Macaca fascicularis: one gene and its partners. The protein of the gene in region 2 interacts with the protein of the main gene of each other region in a pairwise test. Links are inferred from orthologs where the notes say so. Each region holds a gene or a part of one and is shown on either strand. Other genes may lie near its edges.

Region 1 (6,143 bases), on a different chromosome or scaffold from region 2:
CAATTAGCTGGGTGTAGGGGCACATGCCTGTAATTCCAGCTACTCAGGAGGTTGAGGCAGGAGAATCATTTGAACCTGGGAGGCAGAGGCTGCAGTGAGCCAAGATGGTACTCCAGCCTGGGCAAAACAGAGTAAGACTCTGTCTCAAAAAAAAAAAAAAAAAAAAAAAAAAAAAAGGCAGACAAGAGTACAAATTGACTGTATGGCCAACATTTATCTAAAATTCTATGAAATGTAAAGCTACCCATATGACAGAAAGAAGATCTGTGGTTAGAGAGAATGGAAGTAGAGTGGAGGAGGAACCACAAAGGGATAGAGGAAACTTTGGAGGGTGATAGATACATTCACCACTTTCCTTGTAGAAGTGGTTTCAGGGATGTATATATATCAAAACTTATCAAATTGTACACTTTATTTTTATTTTTATTTTTGAGACGGAGTCTAGGAGTCTCGCTCTGTCGTCCAGGCTGGAGTGCAATGGCGCGATCTTGGCTCACCGCAACCACCGCCTCCCAGGTTCAAGCCATTCTCCTACCTCAGCCTCCCCAGTAGCTGGGACTCAGGTACGTGCCACCACACCCGGCTAATTTTTGTATTTTTAGTAGAGACGGGGTTTCACCATATTGGCCAGGCTGTTCTCAAATTCCTGACCTCATGATCCGCCCGCCTCAGCCTCCCAAAGTGCTGGGGTTACTGGTGTGAGCCATCGCGCCCGGCCAGAAATTGTACACTTTAAATATGTGCAGTTTATTTTGTCAATCATACCCCAATAAAGTTGTGAGATGTCCCTCTTAAGTTTGAAAAGCAGACAAGACTAAAAACTCACTGAAGTATCTAAAGCACAAGGCAACTACAATTACTTTTGGAGATAACTGACAATCAAGGTTCTTTTCTAGTATGATAGTTTATCTGAACAAAACATTACTATGAGAAATGCAAAGTCATAAAAATAAAAAATAGAAACGACATTTTTGTCCCCCTGGTAATCATGCCATTTCCTCATGTCTGTGCAGTAGCGTTATGTTATAATCTTTTTAGTGCTCTATGCAATTTGGTTTTTTTAGAGAGAAATAACCTTGTTGTACTTTTCCTGAACTAGACTGCTCTTTTATGTACAAGAAGCCCAGTCCCTGGTGTGAGTGTACTTGTGTGGGTCTGTAGAAAGCTACACTGTATCAATACATTTTAGCAAATGCTGTCATTTGTTTTGGGATTTTTGTAGTCGGGACTCAGCGGAGATACTAGAAACAAATTAGAAATTTCTAGAAACCATACCTTCTACAAGATGAACGCTGTTTTCCTAAGTATGTGAATTCAGTAATCACATTTTTCATTTAGATTTTCCACTTACTGTTTTAAAACCAAGAATTGCTATACCATACAGTCTACGAAACCGGTAATTTTCAATTTCTTCATTAAAGATTCCTTCACTCTTTTTTAGAAAACACGAGAAAGTTTTATTTCCCAACTCTCCCACTACCCATTTCAGAGCTCTTTTATTCGGTCATTATTCCCATTCTGCAGACGGGGAGGCGCACATACGTTTTTCTGCATAGTACAGAGGGACAAGAAAGAAGGAACTTTCAACTTTTCAGTTCCATTTTCAGAAACGATCACATTGAACTCCAGAGAAGCGGCAGCTGAGCGAGAGCAGCAGCATTTCTCCCCGGGTTGGGTGTGGGTCAGGAGCCAGGCGCGCTTCCGCGGGAATAGAGGGGGAGTCAGGTGGCAGCAGCGCCCGAGCCCGAGTGGCGCGGCGGGGGCGCGCCTCCCTCCGGCCGGCGCGGGGACGCTGCCCCCGCGCACGCGAGTCCGGCAACCCCGGGCTCCCGCGCCGCGCGGCGATCCGCGGGTGCGGCAGGGTCGCCCCGACGCTCTCGTCTCTTCCCTCGCGCGCTCGCTCCCTCCCCATGCCCCCACCCCCCCTCCAGTCTCTGGCAGGTCCCTCCCCCAAGCCTGCTCCCGCGGCCGCCGCTGCCGCCGCCGCCGCTACCGGAGGCGCAGGAGCCTCGCGATAGTGTTTGCACAGGCGGCGCGTGACGCCGCCGCCGCCTGTAACTGATGCAGAGGTTACCCCGCTGCCTCAGCCGCCACCCACCGCCCGCCGCCGCCGCCTCCCGGGCGACGCCGGGGGCCGACGCACTGCAGAGGTGCCGGCAGGTTCCGCCCGCGGAAGTCTCCTCGGCCGGCGCAGCCCGCGCTCCGCCCGCGCTCCGACCCCGGCCCCAGGGCACCCCCTCGACGCCTCCGCCGCCGCGCTCCTTCCCTCCGCCTCTTCTCCGGCGCGCCCGCCCGCTCCCTCGCTTCTCCCCCTTTCCCTCCTCCCTGTCCCCTCTCCTTCCCTCACCTCTTTCCTCCCCACCGCCCCTCTTCTCGGTTTCCTCCCCCATCCCCTTGACTCTCCCCTCCCAGCCCTCGCTCTTTAGCTCGCCCTTAGCGCGGCCCCCGCCATGACGGAGGCGGGTGCCGGTGCCGTTGCCGCCGCTGCCGTCGCAGGGGGGGAGTCGGGTTCCCAGAAAGTAGCTTGATGAGTGTCCAAAGTAGCAGTGGAAGTTTGGAGGGGCCGCCATCTTGGTCCCAGCTCTCCACGTCTCCAACCCCGGGCTCGGCGGCGGCGGCCAGGTCCCTGCTGAATCACACGCCGCCATCCGGGAGGCCCAGGGAAGGTAAGCACTGCCGCGCCCGCGCCCGCTCGCGGGCCTCCCCTCCCGTGCCGCGGACCCCCGCGCCCCCCCGGGGCTCCTCCGCCAGACCCCGGGGTGGGGGATGGTGGCGAGGTGGACGCGAGGCCGCCTGGCTCCCCGGCCCTGGGGAGGTATTGCCCTGGCTGTGGGTGGTGGTTCGCGGGTGGCGGTAGAGACGGACGAGGGGGTGCGCGCTGGTGGGGACGGGGCGAGGCGCACAGACTCGCCTGGGGTTCCTGGGAGCCAGTTCTGCGAGGGTGGGAAGCCTCCCCCCGGACGCGAGCCCCTTTCTGCTCCATTTGCCAGCACACTCAGTACTCTTAACCTCCTGGCCTCCGGTCTCTGGTGGGTTTTCCCTCCCGCTGGAGCCTTCGTCCTCGAGCCCCCTCCCCTTCCCCCGCGCACTCCTCCCATAGAGGCGGTCCCCGCTCTGCGAGCTTTGCTGCCCCAGACCTGGAGGATGCCCCTCGCTTGCAGGGTCTCTCATTTGGGGAGAGACACTGAAATTACCTAGGCAGACTTTGATCCCCTGTGTGGCCCCCTAGAGCAATTTAAACGACAGACTGACTCGTGGGCAGGCTTTTAAAACCGCCCCTCCAGATGGTTGCAACTTTCTCTCCTCCGCCGTTGCCTCCTGCGTGTTTGTGCGTTATATTCTCTGCTGCAAGTAGGCTACTGTTCTTCTCTGACAGGGTCGTGGGTTTTGTGGGAAATATCTGCGTAAAGGTTATTGCAAACATGCACCAGATCGGTTACAATTGTTTTCTAAGTTTTCTGGCTTCTTGCAAGCAAGTGTGCTGCCACCAGATGTAGCAGTTAGACAGCTTGTAAGGCACCGGCGTGCTTTTGACTAAAATTTCAACTTGCTGTATTTAACTTTAAGTATACGACATAAAATGAAATTTGGGAGAAAACACATTTATGGGTGATGAATAAATGTGCATGGAATGTCTTTTAACGCTCTTTTGTCTGGAAAACGCTTAGCGATGTTCATCCGCAATTGATAAACGGGTTGTTCACTCCCAGTTGTCGCACACGAGGAGATTGTAGGCATATTTTCAAACGTCTGGAAGTTCAGCAGTCTAGTGAATGTTTTAAAGAAATCAAGAGCTTCGATTTATGTAGGAATCGGTGGGAGTACTTTATTTTGAAAATGTCTGTCGATATTTACTATTCAGAGCCTTGACAATTGTTAATCAAGTGTTTTGTGTCCTGAATCCAGTGGTTCAGGCATAGCATTCTTTGTCATTTTGTTCCTGTGAGCATGTGTGAAAGTGACAATAGGCTTAAAAGATTGGCATGAATATGCTCTAGAAAATTCACGGAAAGCTTTGATTTATGGGATCCATTAAACAGGCGGAATACATTGACTGACGTTTCTCCCTTTCATCTTATCCCAACGCTGAGCTTTCATTATTAGAATATAAAAGTATTAAATGACTAAAAATTTATCTGATGATTCTTTTGCACTTGAAAATTTCCAAATGAACGGTTTAAAATGTATTTCATAGAGAAGTTGGTGCTTTTAGCATGCTTTTACTTTTGTTTGTAGTTTCATTAAGATGTTTTGTGTTAGTGTTGTGAGTTTAAAAAGACCATTTTATCGTTTCTTAATTTAAGACTATATCATCATTCATTCGTTCATTCATTCGTTTCTCGAATATTTATTGAGCCATTACTGTGAGCCAGTCCGTGAACTACATACTGAGGACATAGTATTGAATTGTTTATCTGTTGACATCTGTTATCAGTATTGGGAATTTGGGAGACAAAATATCTAGATTGTGAGTTTCTGAGGTTACTTCAACTTAAAAACATTCTGCACTTTTCCTGATGTTTGAAAATTTGGAGGGGTTGGAATCGTTTAGGTTGAGCTTCCAGATAACCATAAATTTTTTCTGGCAGTTTAGATTGCAGTGGGTTTTTATGTAACCTGAAGTAGTGAGTTTCTGTTAATTCGTGATATCATAGGACGGGCTTTTGTGAAAGTTACACTTCATGCCAAGTACCTGTATAGCTACAGAGGGATATTTCTTTTTGACCAACCAGCATGCAAGTTAAAACTATTAATCCTCTCTAGGGTTATATTCATTTTGAAGTTTGGCGATGTGTTCTCAGATTTCACTAACGCTAACAGGAATATGAAGCCCTGAGTATCAAAATGGAGATGTTTTCTATTAAGCGAAATCTCAGTTTTTATTTTAACAAGTGTTTAGCACTTTTTTCAGGTATACATGTTACTACATTATATAAATTGATGAAGTTTTAGAAAGCTTTTTGACGGCTAGTTACTGCTAGTAAGAACCATTGATATTAATGGAACTTGAATGTATTCTATGTGTCAAGAAGAGAACTAACTTTGTTTCTTGAAAAGTGGAGCCAGTTTAACATAGAGTAATAGAAGAATTGAAACTTCAAAGAGATGAACATGTATATGAACTTAAATATTCTATGTGATGAACTCCTTTTAGGCAAATTTAACTTTGAAAATGGGTTACTTTTAAAGATATGCCATAAGCATCTGTAAAAGTTACTTATTTTGAAGTTTTGACGTTGGAAACCAAAAATCTAAGATTATAATCCGATTATTTTTGATGCTGTATGTTGTGGTTTTCTTTCTCTCTTTTTACCTTATTACCATTATCATATTCACATAGTTTTATTACAAACACAATACAGCTCTTTAAGATTTGGGAGTCTATTAGAATTTAGGAAATTATATGATAAATATAGTGTAGATTTCTTTTCCCTGGGTCTCAAAGCTTTTTACCTTACCAATCTTGTGGTTCTGTTTGAGGTGTTCAGTAATGTAGCTCTAGATTTTCTGTTGAATCTTTTAAACCTATAATCTCCATCCCATTTTGTCTTCTATAATCCTGTGATTAAGGGAGTGAGGAGTTAAAAAGGTTTTCAAGTAAAGCCCAGTTTTGCTTTGTTGAAGCCTAGGAACCTAGTGTCATAATGGCTAGATAAGTAGTTGGGTTTTTTGCATATCAGTACATGGGTACTTTTGAGTGGGTTATTGCTGAGAATCGAATGATTGGTTATACAGAACACTTGCATTTTCTTTCCTGCTCCTGCCAATTATAAATAATTTGATTTTTTTTTTTTTTTGTAAATAGTGAAAACTTGGCCAAAAGGTTGGTATGGGTCGGGAGTGGTGGCTCAAGCCTGTAATCCCAGCACTTTGGGCGGCCTAGGCGGGTGGATTGCTTGAGTTCAGGAGTTCAAGACCAGCCTGGACAACACGGTGAAACCCTGTCTCTACAAAAAGTAGAAAAATTAGCTGGGCGTGGTTCGGGAGGCTGAGTTGGGAGGATTGCTTGAGCCTGGGAGGTGAAGGCTGTGGTGAGCCTAGATAGCGTCATTGCATTCCAGCCTGGGTGACAGAGTGAGGCACTCTCTCAAAAAAAGATGGCATGATAGTATGATTAAACTGTAAACTTGCTCTGTTTCCAT
Region 2 (6,454 bases):
TGGCCAGACTGGCCTCGAACTCCTGACCTCAGGTGAGCCACCTGCCTTGGCCTCTCAATGTGCTGGGATTACAGGCATGAGCTACGGTGCCCCACCTAGTTTTGTAGTTTAGATTCCTCTGGCTACTATGTGGAGATTGGATTAGGAAGTTTAGGCCTGCAGGCCTGAGATCAGTTAAAATGTTGCTTGTCATCTAGGTGGCCAGGTTTAGGGAGAGGGACAAATGCTTGTTGAATGGCTATTATGTGAATTAAATTGACATATATTAAAGGTGATCTCTGTAAGGAGCACATGAGTGCTGAAGCAGTTAGCACACAGTATGAAAGTCATTTGTATATGAATGAAATGGGCAAGCATTAAAACAATGAGGATGCTGGAGCTATATAGATATGGGTTAAATTTATGGCTCTGCCATTCACTAGATCTGTAGCCTTTATTTATTTATTTTGAGAGTCTTGTCCTGTCGCCCAGGCTGGAGTGCAGTGGTGCGATCTGGGCTCACTGCAACCTCTGTCTGCCTGGTTCAAGCAATTCTCCCTCCTCAGCCTCCGGAGTAGCTGGGACTACAGGTGTGCGCCACCAACCCCGACTAATCTTTGTATTTTTAGTTGAGATGGGGTTTCACCATGTTGGCCAGGCTGGTCTTGAACTCCTGACCTCAGATGATCCACCCACCTTGGCCTCCCAAAGTCCTGGGATTACAGGTGTGAGCCACCACACCCAGCTAGATCTGTAGCCTTCAATGAGTTATATGGGCATCAATCAAGTAAAAAAACTCTACTCTTCTCAATCTGGTCTGAGTCACCATTATTCCCAGACCAGAATACTACAGTATTCCCGTATTTTGACTGGCTTCTCCGTTTCTGGCCTTGCCCTCTTCCTCGAGCTTCACAGTGTCCAAAATAATACTTCCCCACCACCCAGCTTTTTCGTTTGTTTGTTTTTTGTTTTAGAGACAGGGTCGTGCCATGTTGCCCCGGCTGATCTTGAACTCCTAGGCTCAAGCAATCCTCCTGCCTCGGCCTCCCAAAGTGCTGGGATGAAGGTGTGAGCCACCATACCTGGCCTGAGTGCAGTGGCCTGATCTCGGCTCACAGCAGCCTCGACCCTCCAGGCTCAAGCAATTCTCTCACCTCAGCCTCCCGAGTAGCTGGGACTACAGGCGCGTGCCACCACGCCCGGCTAATTTTTGTATTTTTTGTAGAGATGGGATTTCACTATTTTGCCGGGGCTGGTTCCCAACTCCTGGACTCAAGCGATTCGCCCGCCTCAGCCTCCCAAAGGGAAGTGCTGGGATTTCAGGCGTGTGCCACTGCTCCCACCCCAAAGTAGTATTTGTTATTATTATTATCGAGACGGAGTTTGGCTCTATTGCAGGCTGGAGCGCAGTGGTGCGACCTCGGCTCACCGCAACCTCTGCCTCCCAGGTTCAAGCGATTCTCCTGCCTCAGCCTCCCAAGTAGCTGAGATTACAGGCGAACGCCACCACGTCCAGCTCATTTTTGAATTTTTAGTGGAGACCATGTTGGCCAGGATGGTCTCGATCTCTTGACCTCGTGATCCGCCCGCCTCGGCCTCCCAAAGTGCTGGGATTACGGGCGTGAGCCACCGCGCCCGGTCTATTACTAGTTTTTTTAGGCAGTGTCTTGCTGTCGCCCAGGCTGGAGGGCAGTGGCGTGATCACGACTCACTGCAGCACCGACTTCCCGGGCTTAAGTTATCCTCCCGCCGCAGCCTCCACGCCTGGCTAGGGTTTTGCATTTTTTGTAGAGATGAGGTCTTTTTTGCCCAGGCTGGCCTCTAGCTCCTAGGCTTAAGCGACACTCTTGCTGCAGCCTCCTAAATTGTTGGGGTTACGGGCGTGAGCCACCGCGCCCAGCCTAATGGAGGAAACTGAGGCTCGGAGACAGTAGGTAATTCCCCAAGGTTCCACAGCTAATGAGTCGAGTGGCGATTTGTGGAACGAAATGAATGAAATCGATGTGGCAGTGGGCCCGGACGCGCCCGGTCGGTGGAGTGGCGTAGCCGCCGAGCGCGCAGCTCACACCCGGCGGCCGCGATTTCCGGGAGGAAGCAAGGATGCTTTGGACGCTGCGCTTAGCGCCTCCGCGGAACCCCCGCGCTGCCATTCCCGGCCGTGGCTCCGTCCTCGGCTAACGGGAAGCAGGAAGTGGCGGCGGGCGTCGCTAGCGGTGACATCACGGGGGCGACGGCGGCGAAGGGCGGGGGCGGAGGAGGAGCGAGCCGGGCCGGGGGGCGGCTGCACAGTCTCCGGGATCCCCAGGCCTGGAGGGGGGTCTGTGCGCGGCCGGCTGGCTCTGCCCCGCGTCCGGTCCCGAGCGGGCCTCCCTCGGGCCAGCCCGATGTGACCGAGCCTAGTGGAGCTTGAGCAAGGAGCGGGTCCGTCGCGGAGCCGGAGGGCGGGAGGAACATGACATCGCGGAGGTGAGGAGCCCCGAGGGGCCCGGCCCGGGCCTCGGCCCGGCCCCCGCCGCATTCGGTCAGCCCCGTCCGGAAGGGGGCGCCCCGGCCGGGCTTCGGGCTCCCGCCCCGGATCGGGATTGGGGGCCAGTTCCCTCCTCGTCCCCTGTCCCTCCTCGGCCCGGGGGCCGGCCCCACCGCGCCCCCACCCCTTGGGTCCCCATTCATTTCCTGCCTCCCTGAGTTCCGGCTGCGGCAGCCCGGGGGATGCCCGTCAGGCCTGGGGCAGGTAGAGCCGCCTAGGGAACCACGGGCGCCAGCGGCCCGGCTCAGCGCCGCATTCCTGACCCATTGCCTCATGAGAATTGCCTCATGGTGATTCCGAAATAACCCTGCTCACTTGGGGAGGCTCCTTGGGACACGAGATGGGAGTTGCGCGGGGCCGGGCCCCCAGTGGTCTAGTCGTTCTGGGTCACTGTGCCACTTGCGTGCATTTGGGGTCTTAACGAAGGACCCCTGACCCTTTTATGTGCCCCTTTGTGTCTTCTTTTTCTCCCACCCCTCACGTGCCAGAAATGGAAAAACTGACTGTATCTGCAGCCACTAGAAGTATTTCCTTCCTCTGCGATATTCGCTTTGGGAGATGGAAAGGAAGGGAGCCGCATCTCGTTATTTAATCCTTCACTGCAACCTTAACAGTCAGGTCACTTTACTGGTACCCGTTTTATGGATGAGGAAACCGAGGCCCAGAAGCAACATGCTAGTAAATGACAAGATTTGAAACTAAGGAGAATTAGTGAGTTAATGAGATCCTTTGAAAGATCAGGGTAATATTACTACTAATAGCTAACATTTGCTTAGTTCTGACGACAGCCCTCTCAGATGGCTACTATTATCCCCATTGTAAAGATGAGTAAACCGAGTTTCGGAGAGGTTAAGTAGATTGCTTAACCTCACAGCTAGTAGGTGGTGGAGACAGAATCCCTACTTTTAATCACTATGTTGCTTCTATTATTTTGTAACTATTGCTAACCACTTGTAAGCCTTAATTTTGTTGTCAAACAGTAGTGTGACTTGTTTTCAGATAATGATCCTGCTATTTTATATAATCACTCTATATACCACTCACACTTAAGACCCATTGTCTATTCTTTTCCATGGTTGTTCAATTATGGTCACTGTCTCAGACATTTAAAAAACGATTCAAGCTATTGAGGCTATTTGAATGAGATTTTTTTTTCTTTCTTTTTTTTTCTCTTTTTTTGAGACGGAGTCTCACTCTGTTAACAGCCCAGGCTGGAGTGCAGTGGCACGATCTCGGCTCACCACAACCTCCGCCTCCTAGGTTCAAGCGATTCTCCTGCCTCAACCTCCCAAGTAGCTGGGACTATCGGCATGCCACTATGCCTGGCTAATTTTTTTTTTTTTTTTTTTTTTTTTTTTTTTTTTTTTTTTTTTGAGACGGAGTCATGCTCTGTCGCCCAGGCTGGAGTGCAGTGGCCGGATCTCAGCTCACTGCAAGCTCCGCCTCCCGGGTTCACGCCATTCTCCTGCCTCAGCCTCCCAAGTAGCTGGGACTACAGGCGCCCGCCACTTCGCCCTGCTAGTTTTTTGTATTTTTTAGTAGAGACGGGGTTTCACCGTGTTAGCCAGGATGGTCTCCATCTCCTGACCTCGTGATTCGCCCGTCTCGGCCTCCCAAAGTGCTGGGATTACAGGCTTGAGCCACTGCGCCCGGCCTAATTTTTTTTTTTGAAACAGAGTCTCGCTCTCTTGCCCAGGCTGGAGTGCCGTGGCGCAATCTCGGCTCACTACAAGCTCCGCCTTCTGGGTTCAAGCCATCCTCCTGCCTCAGCCTCTCAAGTAGCTGGGACTACAGGTGCCCGCCACGACGTCTGGCGAATGTTTTGTATTTTTAGTAGAGACGGGGTTTCACCATGTTAGCCGGGATGGTCTCGATCTCCTGACCTTGTGATCCGCCCGCCTCGGCCTCCCAAAGTGCTGGAATTACAAGCATGAGCCACCGTGCCCGGCCGAGTTTTGTATTTTTAGTAGAGACGGGGTTTCACTATGTTGGCCAGATTGGTCTTAAACTCCTGACCTCGAGATCCGCCTGCCTCGGCCTCCCAAAGTGCTGGAATTACAGGCGTGAGCCACCGCACCCGGCCTGAATGAGATTTTTCAAAATATTAGGAATGTCTCCTCCAAACAGACCTGGCATGTTATTCTTACATGGATCTGGAATTTAAAAAGGGGAGAAAAAAGAAAACAGAACTCGTAGGAAGTGAGTGACTTGGACAGGTCTGTTGGCAAGTGCTTGCGGATCTGGGTAATATATAACTGCATTTCAACGGAACAGTGTATAGCCTCAAATGTTCTAATTCTTTAGGGAGCTTTTAAATAAACAGTTGTCTATTCTTTAATCTGTCTAATAGTCATTGAGCCTTTTGTTCCTGGTGTCTGCTCTTCCAGACAAGTAAGGATTTGCTGCTTTAGGGGGCTGAGGGTTGGGAAAAGATCTGTGTAGTATTAGACCCTACATTGTCCAGTTTGTTAGTTTAGAAGCATGGAAGTGTGGGCATAGTCAAAGCAGCAAGTGGTAAAGATGACAGTTTGAAATGGAGTTGTTCCTTTTCCCCTCCAGCCCTGGTATTGTGTACCACCCAAAAAGCCAGATTATGAACATAATACACAGAATTTTGAATGATTTATCATTTTTTAGATTATAAGTCTGTTTTATTAACCAGCCTTACTGAGCTATAAATGACATGCAATTAAATGCATATATTTAAATGTACAATTTGATCAGTTTTGACATACATATACACTTGGGAAACCACCACCACAGTCAAGATAATGAACACATCTATTGTCCCTCGTAATTTTGCCTCATGTTTTTTGTAATCCCTCGTTTGTTCTTAGCCACTGTTCTGCTTTCTGTCACTATATATTAGTTTATATCTCCTAAAATTTTTTTGTTTTTTTAAAATTTTTAAATTGTTTGAATAGAGATGGGGTCTCACTGTGTTGCCCAGGGCAGTCTCAAACCCCTGGGTTCAAGCGATCCTCTCACCTTGGCCTACTGCAGTGTTGGGATTATAGGCGTGAGACACCCTGCCCAGCCCTAGAATTTTATTATTATTGTTATTATTATGTTTTTTTGAGATAGAGTCTCGCTTTGTTGCCCAGGCTGGAGTGCAGTGGTGCGATCACTGCAGCCTTGTTTTCCTAGGCTCAATCCATCCTTCCTCCTCAGCTTGCCGATTACTGGGACTACAAGTGTGCACCACCACACTCGGCTAATTTTTGAATTTTTTTGTAGAGACAGAGTTTTGCCAGGTTGGCTAGACTGGTCTCAAACTCCTGGGCTCAAACGATCTTCCTGCCTTGGCCTCCCAAAGTGCTGGGATTACAGGCATGATCCACTGTGTCTGGCCTTCAAATTACTTTAACCTAGTATTAATTCATTCAACAGGAAGTTAATGAGCCAGGCAGGATAAAGCAGTAAGATAGGAAAATATTGCTAGTTTCTTTCTTTCTTTCTTTCTTTTCTCTTTTTTTTTTTTTGAGACGGAGTTTCACTCTTGTTACCCAGGCTGGAGTGCAATGGCACGATTTCGGCTCACCACAACCTCTGCCTCCCAAATTCAAGCGATTCTCCTGCCTCAGCCTCCCGAGTAGCTGGGATTACAGGCATGCGCCACCACGTCTGGCTAATTTTGTATTTTTAGTAGAGACAGGGTTTCTCCATGTTGGTCAGGCTGGTCTCGAACTCCTGACCTCAGGTGATCCACCCGCCTCAGCCTCCCAAAGTGCTGGGATTACAGGCATGAGCCATCGCGCCCAGCCAATATTGCTATTTTCATGGCTGAGAGAGAGCAGACAAACACATGACTAAATAGGATAATTTCAGGTAGTAATAAATTCTAGGAGGGAAAAAAATCCTACAGAAATGTGAGAATGGGAGAATGCAGTTAGTTTTGATAGGTGACCTGAATGACGATTAGTGGTCTGAATTTTGTTTTGCTTAATT
Region 3 (6,280 bases), on a different chromosome or scaffold from region 2:
GAACTTTCGGAGGCCGAGGCGGGCGGATCACGAAGTCAGGAGATCGAGACCATCCTGGCTAACATGGTGAAACCCCATCTCTACTAAAAAAAAAAAAAAAATACAAAACATTAGCTGGGCGTGGTGGCGGGCGCCTATAGTCCTAGGGAGGCTGAGGCAGGAGAATGGCTTGAACCCGAGAAGCAGAGCTGGCAGTGAGCCAAGATCACGCCACTGCACTCTAGCCCGCCTTCAACCTTTGGGGAAAGATGTTCAGAGAACCCTTCCCAAAGCTGATACGTGGTGACTATTGTATTCACATTTCAAGGTCCCTCCTGCCATTGGCCAAACAAGAAACATCAAACTTTTCCATTTCTACATGAAATTGTAAATAACACCATCTTTTCCTAAACAAACAAAATAAGACCTTAAAGAATTTCTGGCAGAATATTACCTAACCCCAACTAACTCTTGCTAAACAGCCTTCCAGTCTGTGTATTGAATCATATAACTATCAAAGGATATGTAAAAGACTACTCTTCTGGGGGAAGATAGGGCATACGTCTGCCTGACTTGCATCACAAACCTCAGCTGCAGCCAAACCATGCAGATTTCTTCGACTCTGCAATCCCTGGGACTTGGCACCATGACTCAGATGTGAATGAAGTCAGGATGGGTTTATTTTGGTGGGGAGTCACCGCCTCCTGATTGATTTGGCAGACGTTAAGTATTGTATGTCTTACAGGGATTTAAGGTACTTAAAGCCAGAAGTTAAAATGGCCATCATTCTGGTGGTGGCCCTTCATATGTGACTTAAGGATCCCCAAATTGGAAGGTTAAGGGAGCTGTGGTCCCAGCCTAACAGTTCTGGCTTTACTTCCCATCCAGCAGCACAGTGGATATTGAAGAAAGTCAGTGAAATGTTAGATCCAGGAGACTGACTGCTAAAACTCCTAGGGTATCTAGAAGAGCTAAGTACGTGATAGCGGATTCGCTTTTCCAAACTGAGGAGGGTGAACTTCCCCCAACCCAATCAAGATCTGTTGGACCAAATGATGTCCAACTGCTTGAAACATCTCAGCTGCACAGAGACAGAAATGAACAAAACAGCTTTAGTCTAAGGTTGTGTGGGGCAGTGCAAGATGCTGCTTCTCCAATTCATCTGTCCACACAGCACGGTTCCCCATTGAATAAACAGGATACTATCCACTTATCAGAGAAGTTAGGGAGGACCTGCCTTTTAATGCTGCTTGGAGAGACACTGTCAATGAGCGGGGACGTTGGGGAATTTGGACCCCAATTTCTTGTTCTTCTACACTTGACCTTGCCTTCCAATTCACTATGAAATATATTTACTAGGTTTGCTTCTTCCATTCTACAAATCATGCGAGTTTTCTATACTTAACTGTTTTCCTAGAGGCAATGTAGGAGGGACTCAGCTGGACTTTGTTTCCAGGCAATGAGAGGCTCCCAGGTTGATCCCATTAAGGCAATGCCCTCATTTTGAATAGGGGATGACTGGGACCCCTCCTCCCCCACACACCTGAATTGGAAACTTGGCTAGGCTTTGTACAAGCCCTTGCCCTTAGGCAGTCCATAAAATGGGAACAATACTGAAGACAATCCTGTAAGCCAAGAGTGCAAAGGCTCCGGCGCGTAGTAGGTCCGTCTCCTCCTCCCGCCGAGGGGCGCCAGAGTTAAGGAACTTCTTACTGGGAAGGGGTCCCTCCTTTCAGCAGGAACCTGACCCGCAGAATGGATCGGAAACGCGAGCAACCCTCGGATCCCTTCCCCGTCGACGCTCGGTGAAAAATCGATCGACGACGGAGGGCGCGCAGTCCCTTCTCCGCACGCCCGCCAGCGCCAGGGGCGCGGCCGCCTCCCCGGCCTCCGCGCCCGCAGCTTGAGGCCTCAGGAGAAAGCGAGATTCCGGGGCTCGCCGGCGGCGGTGGCTTTCTGTGTCCTGGCGGATCCCCAGCCCCGCGTCCGCGTGCGCGGCGGCCTCGGGGGCGCGGCGGGAGCGGGCGTGGCGAGCGCGCCGGCCTTCCCGCTGCAACTGCCCCCGCGGCGGCCCGGCGGAGAGTGCGGATTGCGCGCGCTCGGGGCGGGGGAGCGGGCGCGCGCGAGGCCGCCGGGCGCGCGCCGCGCCGCCTAGTCCCCGCCGGGCCGCCCGCCCCGCCCCTGGCCTCCCGCGAGCTGCGCACCGCCGGCCGCTGCCCCAGCTGCCCGAGCCCGCGCCCTAGTCCGCGCGACCCAGCGGCGGGCTCCAGGCCGGCAGCATGAGCGGCGGCGGCGGCGACGTGGTGTGCACCGGCTGGCTGAGGAAATCGCCTCCCGAGAAGAAGTTGAGGCGCTATGTGAGTGCGGGCGCGGCCGCCGAGGGGCGGGCGGGCGGGCGGGGGGCGCTCCGGGGCCTGCGGAGGGGCGGGGGGCTCCCGGAGGGGCGGCAGGCTGGGGAGCTCGGGCCCGGAGCCGCGGGGGCCGGGGGCGAGGAGCGGCCAGGGTCGTGTGGGGTACCTGCACACCTGTCACAGGTGCGCCGCCGAGGGGCGGGGCGGGGCGGGCGGCAGGTTGAGGCTGCGGCTCCTGCTCCGCCAGGCGGGCGCGGCGTCGGCGCCTCCCCAGGCGGTCTGCCCGTAAACTAAATATAGTGTCGAAGTTTGTATTGATGGCTTCTGGAGACCGAGAGAGTTGACTCTCGGGGCTGGGGCTCCGCGGCGGCCCCTAGCAGCTTCAGCTCACAGGTCCGGGAGAGGGCGGGAAAGGGGGGCGTAGGCTGTGGGCCCGCGCGGACGGCCCCACAAAGGGCGAGCGCCTCACGCCCTCTCCTTCCCTTTCTCCGCCCGCCCCTCCCGGCCGCCGGCCTCACTCCGTCCGCGGCTGCATCACCGGCAGCGTCAGCGGCATGTGCAGCCCTTGTATTAAGTGACTCATTTGTTTGTCCCCCTTCTCTCCCTTTATTCCGTTCGTCTCTCACAGGCGCCTCCCCCGACCCCGGTGTGACACTGCAGTTTGGTCCCCGTGGCTGGCCCGGGTTTGGGACCTGGCAGCTCCCGGTTGTCTGGGGTCGGGAGAGATCGAGGCTCTCGGCGCCCAGGTGTTGCCAACCCACAGTGTTTACTGACATCGCTGGAACAGCCTCTTCCCTCTAGGTGGGGAACTGGCAGTTTGGGGGAGGTGGAACGGCGTGGCGCTGAGCCGTGGAGTTCTGGCTTTTTTTTTTTTTTTTTTTTAACCCCTCTCCCCAGAGGATGCCTTGCCTGGTGAGGTCAAAGTACAAGATGGTGCCAGTTACTGAGATTTTGCCGAAATGGTCCTGGGGTAGTCGCGGGAGTTTGGAAGTGGGGGTAAGGTGGCTGGAAGGTTTCAAGGTCTCTCATCTGCTCCCTCTCCTTTTCCCATGAAATGCCCTTGTTTAACGGGCTGTGGTGCCGGACTCCGGGATCACTCCCACAGCCTGGAAGGGAGCCGTTGCCTCCAGCTGCAGTGCATCAAGGGAGCTCGGAATAGACCCTGCCCTCTGTCAGCTGCACCAGTGGCTGTCCATGGGGGGAGAAGCAGAAGCCTACCAGAATTTCCTGTCTTGGCTCCCCAGATCAGAATCAAGGGACTTCTGGCCTCTGGACTGAGGAAGTGACATTCTGTTTTTCAAAGGAAGTGTTGTTGTTGCGGAGTGCAAGTGTGTGTGTCAATGAAATCAGGCTCTTACGTAGATGTTTGCTAGGAAAAAAAAAATTCTGATTTAGCACATGACTTTTGAAAGTGGACGTGGATTTATAGGAGGGATGAAGCAGTGAATTGTTCATCTCAGTTTGAAAGCTCATTTTTAGGAGTGTCTATGTAGCCAAAGTATAATTATTAAGAAATACACTTTTTTCCTCTTCAGGCTTGTATCAGTTCGTTAGGAAGGTTGAATACTTTAATTAGGATTAAGGAGCAGTGATTTACTATTAACAATTTAATAAATATTTTTAAAACTTTGTCCCAAAGAGCTTCCAAAAATTATCTTTACAAATAGATTTCCATACAAGCTAGTGGAATAGAGTGTCCACAGTAAAAAAAAAGAAAAAGTGACCCTTAGTTTTCAAATTTGAACACTACACTAAACCTTGAAACTTGTTTTTGAAACAATTTGCAAACAGTATGACATTGTATCTCCATTTGACTTACCGCTCCTTGAACGCTCACCCAGACTCTCTTTATGACCCATTTCTTGGGTGTTTTTGTTCCCAAACAACTTTAGTTCAAAAAAACCAGGTTTGGAGGCATTTGGGTCAAGCACCTTTTTCACTCATTTGAACGAATCTAGAATCGTGTGATGGCCTTAGCCTCTCTTTCCCATCTTCGATGCACCTTCAGCCCATCAGGTGTCAGACCTTAACAGCTTTCAGTAACAGCTTTTCTTAGGCCAGGATGTGATGTGTTCACTTACATGACTGGAAGCCTCTGCCCTTTCGAAAGTTCAGTTTCCCCCCAGTTGAAACTGCTGATCTGTGTAACCTTAAGCTTCCGGGGAACAGTATTCTTTTACGTCTACTGTTTTTGGGGGTATTAAGAATTTTTGCATCCTGTTGTAAGTTAAAACTCTGCTAGTTTGCTTATTTCAGTAGAGGCCCGAGTTCATCAGAACCAAACTTGGAAAGTATTTCCCAGCCTAATGGCTGTATATTTACCCCAAAGTAGCTGCTGCTTCTGGTATACATCATAGTCATGTTATATTGTACTGAGAAATCCTCTTTATAAGAATGCCACAAGCATATGAGATAAGGGGAAAAAGTAGTTGATGAACTAGGTTATAACTATTTAAAACGATTTTTTTAAAAACTGATTTAATTCGAAGGCTGGGCGCAGTGGTTTATGCCTGTAATCCCAGCACTTTGGGAGGCTGAGGCCGGCAGATCACTGGAGGTCAGAAATTCGAGACCAGCCTGGCCAAAACCCCGTCTCTACCATAAATACAAAAATTAGCTGGGCGTTGTGGAGGGCACCTGTAGTCCCAGTTACTCAGGAGGCTGAGACATGAGAATTGGGTGAGTCTGGGAGGCTGAGGTTGCAGCAAGCCGAGATTGCACCACTGCACTCCAGCCTGGGTGAGAGAATGAGACTCCATTTCAAAGAAAAACAAAAAACTTATTTAATTCAGAAAGACAAGGAGGTGCAGAGGGGGGAAACATCTTAGAAGAAGCAAAGGCAAATGTTTGAGCAATTAGTTTTCAGATATTTTTTCATCAGCCTTTTCTAGTTAATTATAAGTATAAAAGATCTATCTGCTATTTGCTGAGTGCCCTGGAGAAATTACAAAAAATGACTTTGGAAAATGCTGACTATTGCCCCTGGGGCATCCTGATACGGTTGCAGTGGGAGGTTGGCAGGAGTAACAACCCTCCCATCGTGCCTCAGTGTATTTGTGTGTGTATGCGTGTGCATGCAAATGCATATACACGTACATGTATATAAATCTTAAACAGAATTTTCTTGAGGAAAAACATTTTATTAATATGACCTACACTGCATTGTAGTTTTCAATTTCACTGGGTTAAAAGATTTAGGGAATAAAATTGGCAGACTGCCCCCTAGTGGCTAACTTGAAAGTTGTGCACAAATTTTAATGAACAACTGCATTAAGGTAACAGTAATTGTTTATTTCCATTGTATTTGTTAAATATACTTATTAAATCTATGTCCTAGGTACTTCAGGTGCTTGGAATAAAAATTCAGTAAATAAAAAGAAAGAACATTAATCCAGCCTTTCAGTCTTAGCAATGGCTTTGCCTTCTCCTTCACAAAGAAAATTGAAATGATGAGGGAGTAGTTATCTGTACGTACCATGAATGGCCACACTTTCAAATTTACCTATATCTGCCTAGTTCCTTTCCTTCTTGTTTCTTTCTTTTTTTTTTTGACAGAGGTTCGCTCTTGTTGCCTAGGCTGGAGTGCAACGGCACAGTCTGGGCTCACTGCAACCTCTGCCTCCTGGGTTTAAGCGGTTCTCCTGCCTCAGCCTCCCAAGTAGCTGGGTTTATAGGCATGCGCCACCACGCCTGGTTAATTTTGTATTTTTAGTAGAGATGAGGCTTGACCACGTTGGTCAGGCTAGTCTTGAACTCCTGACCTCCGGTGATCCGCCCACCTCAGCCTCCTGAAGTGCTGGGATTACAGACATGAGCCACCACGCCCAGCCTGCGTAGTTCCTTTGTGGTTTCCTTAGAGTGGATGAAGTGCGTCTTCTATCTGAGCTAATCTTGCTACTTATACTTTGAATCATATCTTCTCCTCCCTACTCAAATAATTCTTATCCTGT

Evidence for each region.
Region 1: the proteins of PTPN11 (region 2) and TLK1 interact in binary tests that used the Homo sapiens proteins (3 or more experiments, as listed by UniProt). The link is inferred for Macaca fascicularis from reciprocal best matches to the Homo sapiens genes PTPN11 and TLK1.
Region 3: the proteins of PTPN11 (region 2) and GAB2 interact in binary tests that used the Homo sapiens proteins (3 or more experiments, as listed by UniProt). The link is inferred for Macaca fascicularis from reciprocal best matches to the Homo sapiens genes PTPN11 and GAB2.

What each region holds. Positions count from the first base shown.
Region 1 is NC_088386.1:66,734,020-66,740,162, reverse strand, and holds the start of TLK1 (serine/threonine-protein kinase tousled-like 1), read left to right. Parts: upstream 1-2,019; 5' UTR 2,020-2,527; coding exon 2,528-2,666; intron 2,667-3,133; exon of another isoform or gene 3,134-3,284; coding exon of another isoform or gene 3,285-3,351; intron 3,352-6,143. UniProt on the Homo sapiens protein: Rapidly and transiently inhibited by phosphorylation following the generation of DNA double-stranded breaks during S-phase. This is cell cycle checkpoint and ATM-pathway dependent and appears to regulate processes involved in chromatin assembly.
Region 2 is NC_088385.1:119,339,358-119,345,811, forward strand, and holds the start of PTPN11 (tyrosine-protein phosphatase non-receptor type 11), read left to right. Parts: upstream 1-2,224; 5' UTR 2,225-2,431; coding exon 2,432-2,445; intron 2,446-6,454. UniProt on the Homo sapiens protein: Acts downstream of various receptor and cytoplasmic protein tyrosine kinases to participate in the signal transduction from the cell surface to the nucleus. Positively regulates MAPK signal transduction pathway. Dephosphorylates GAB1, ARHGAP35 and EGFR.
Region 3 is NC_088388.1:77,315,998-77,322,277, reverse strand, and holds the start of GAB2 (GRB2-associated-binding protein 2), read left to right. Parts: upstream 1-2,156; 5' UTR 2,157-2,258; coding exon 2,259-2,336; intron 2,337-6,280. UniProt on the Homo sapiens protein: Adapter protein which acts downstream of several membrane receptors including cytokine, antigen, hormone, cell matrix and growth factor receptors to regulate multiple signaling pathways.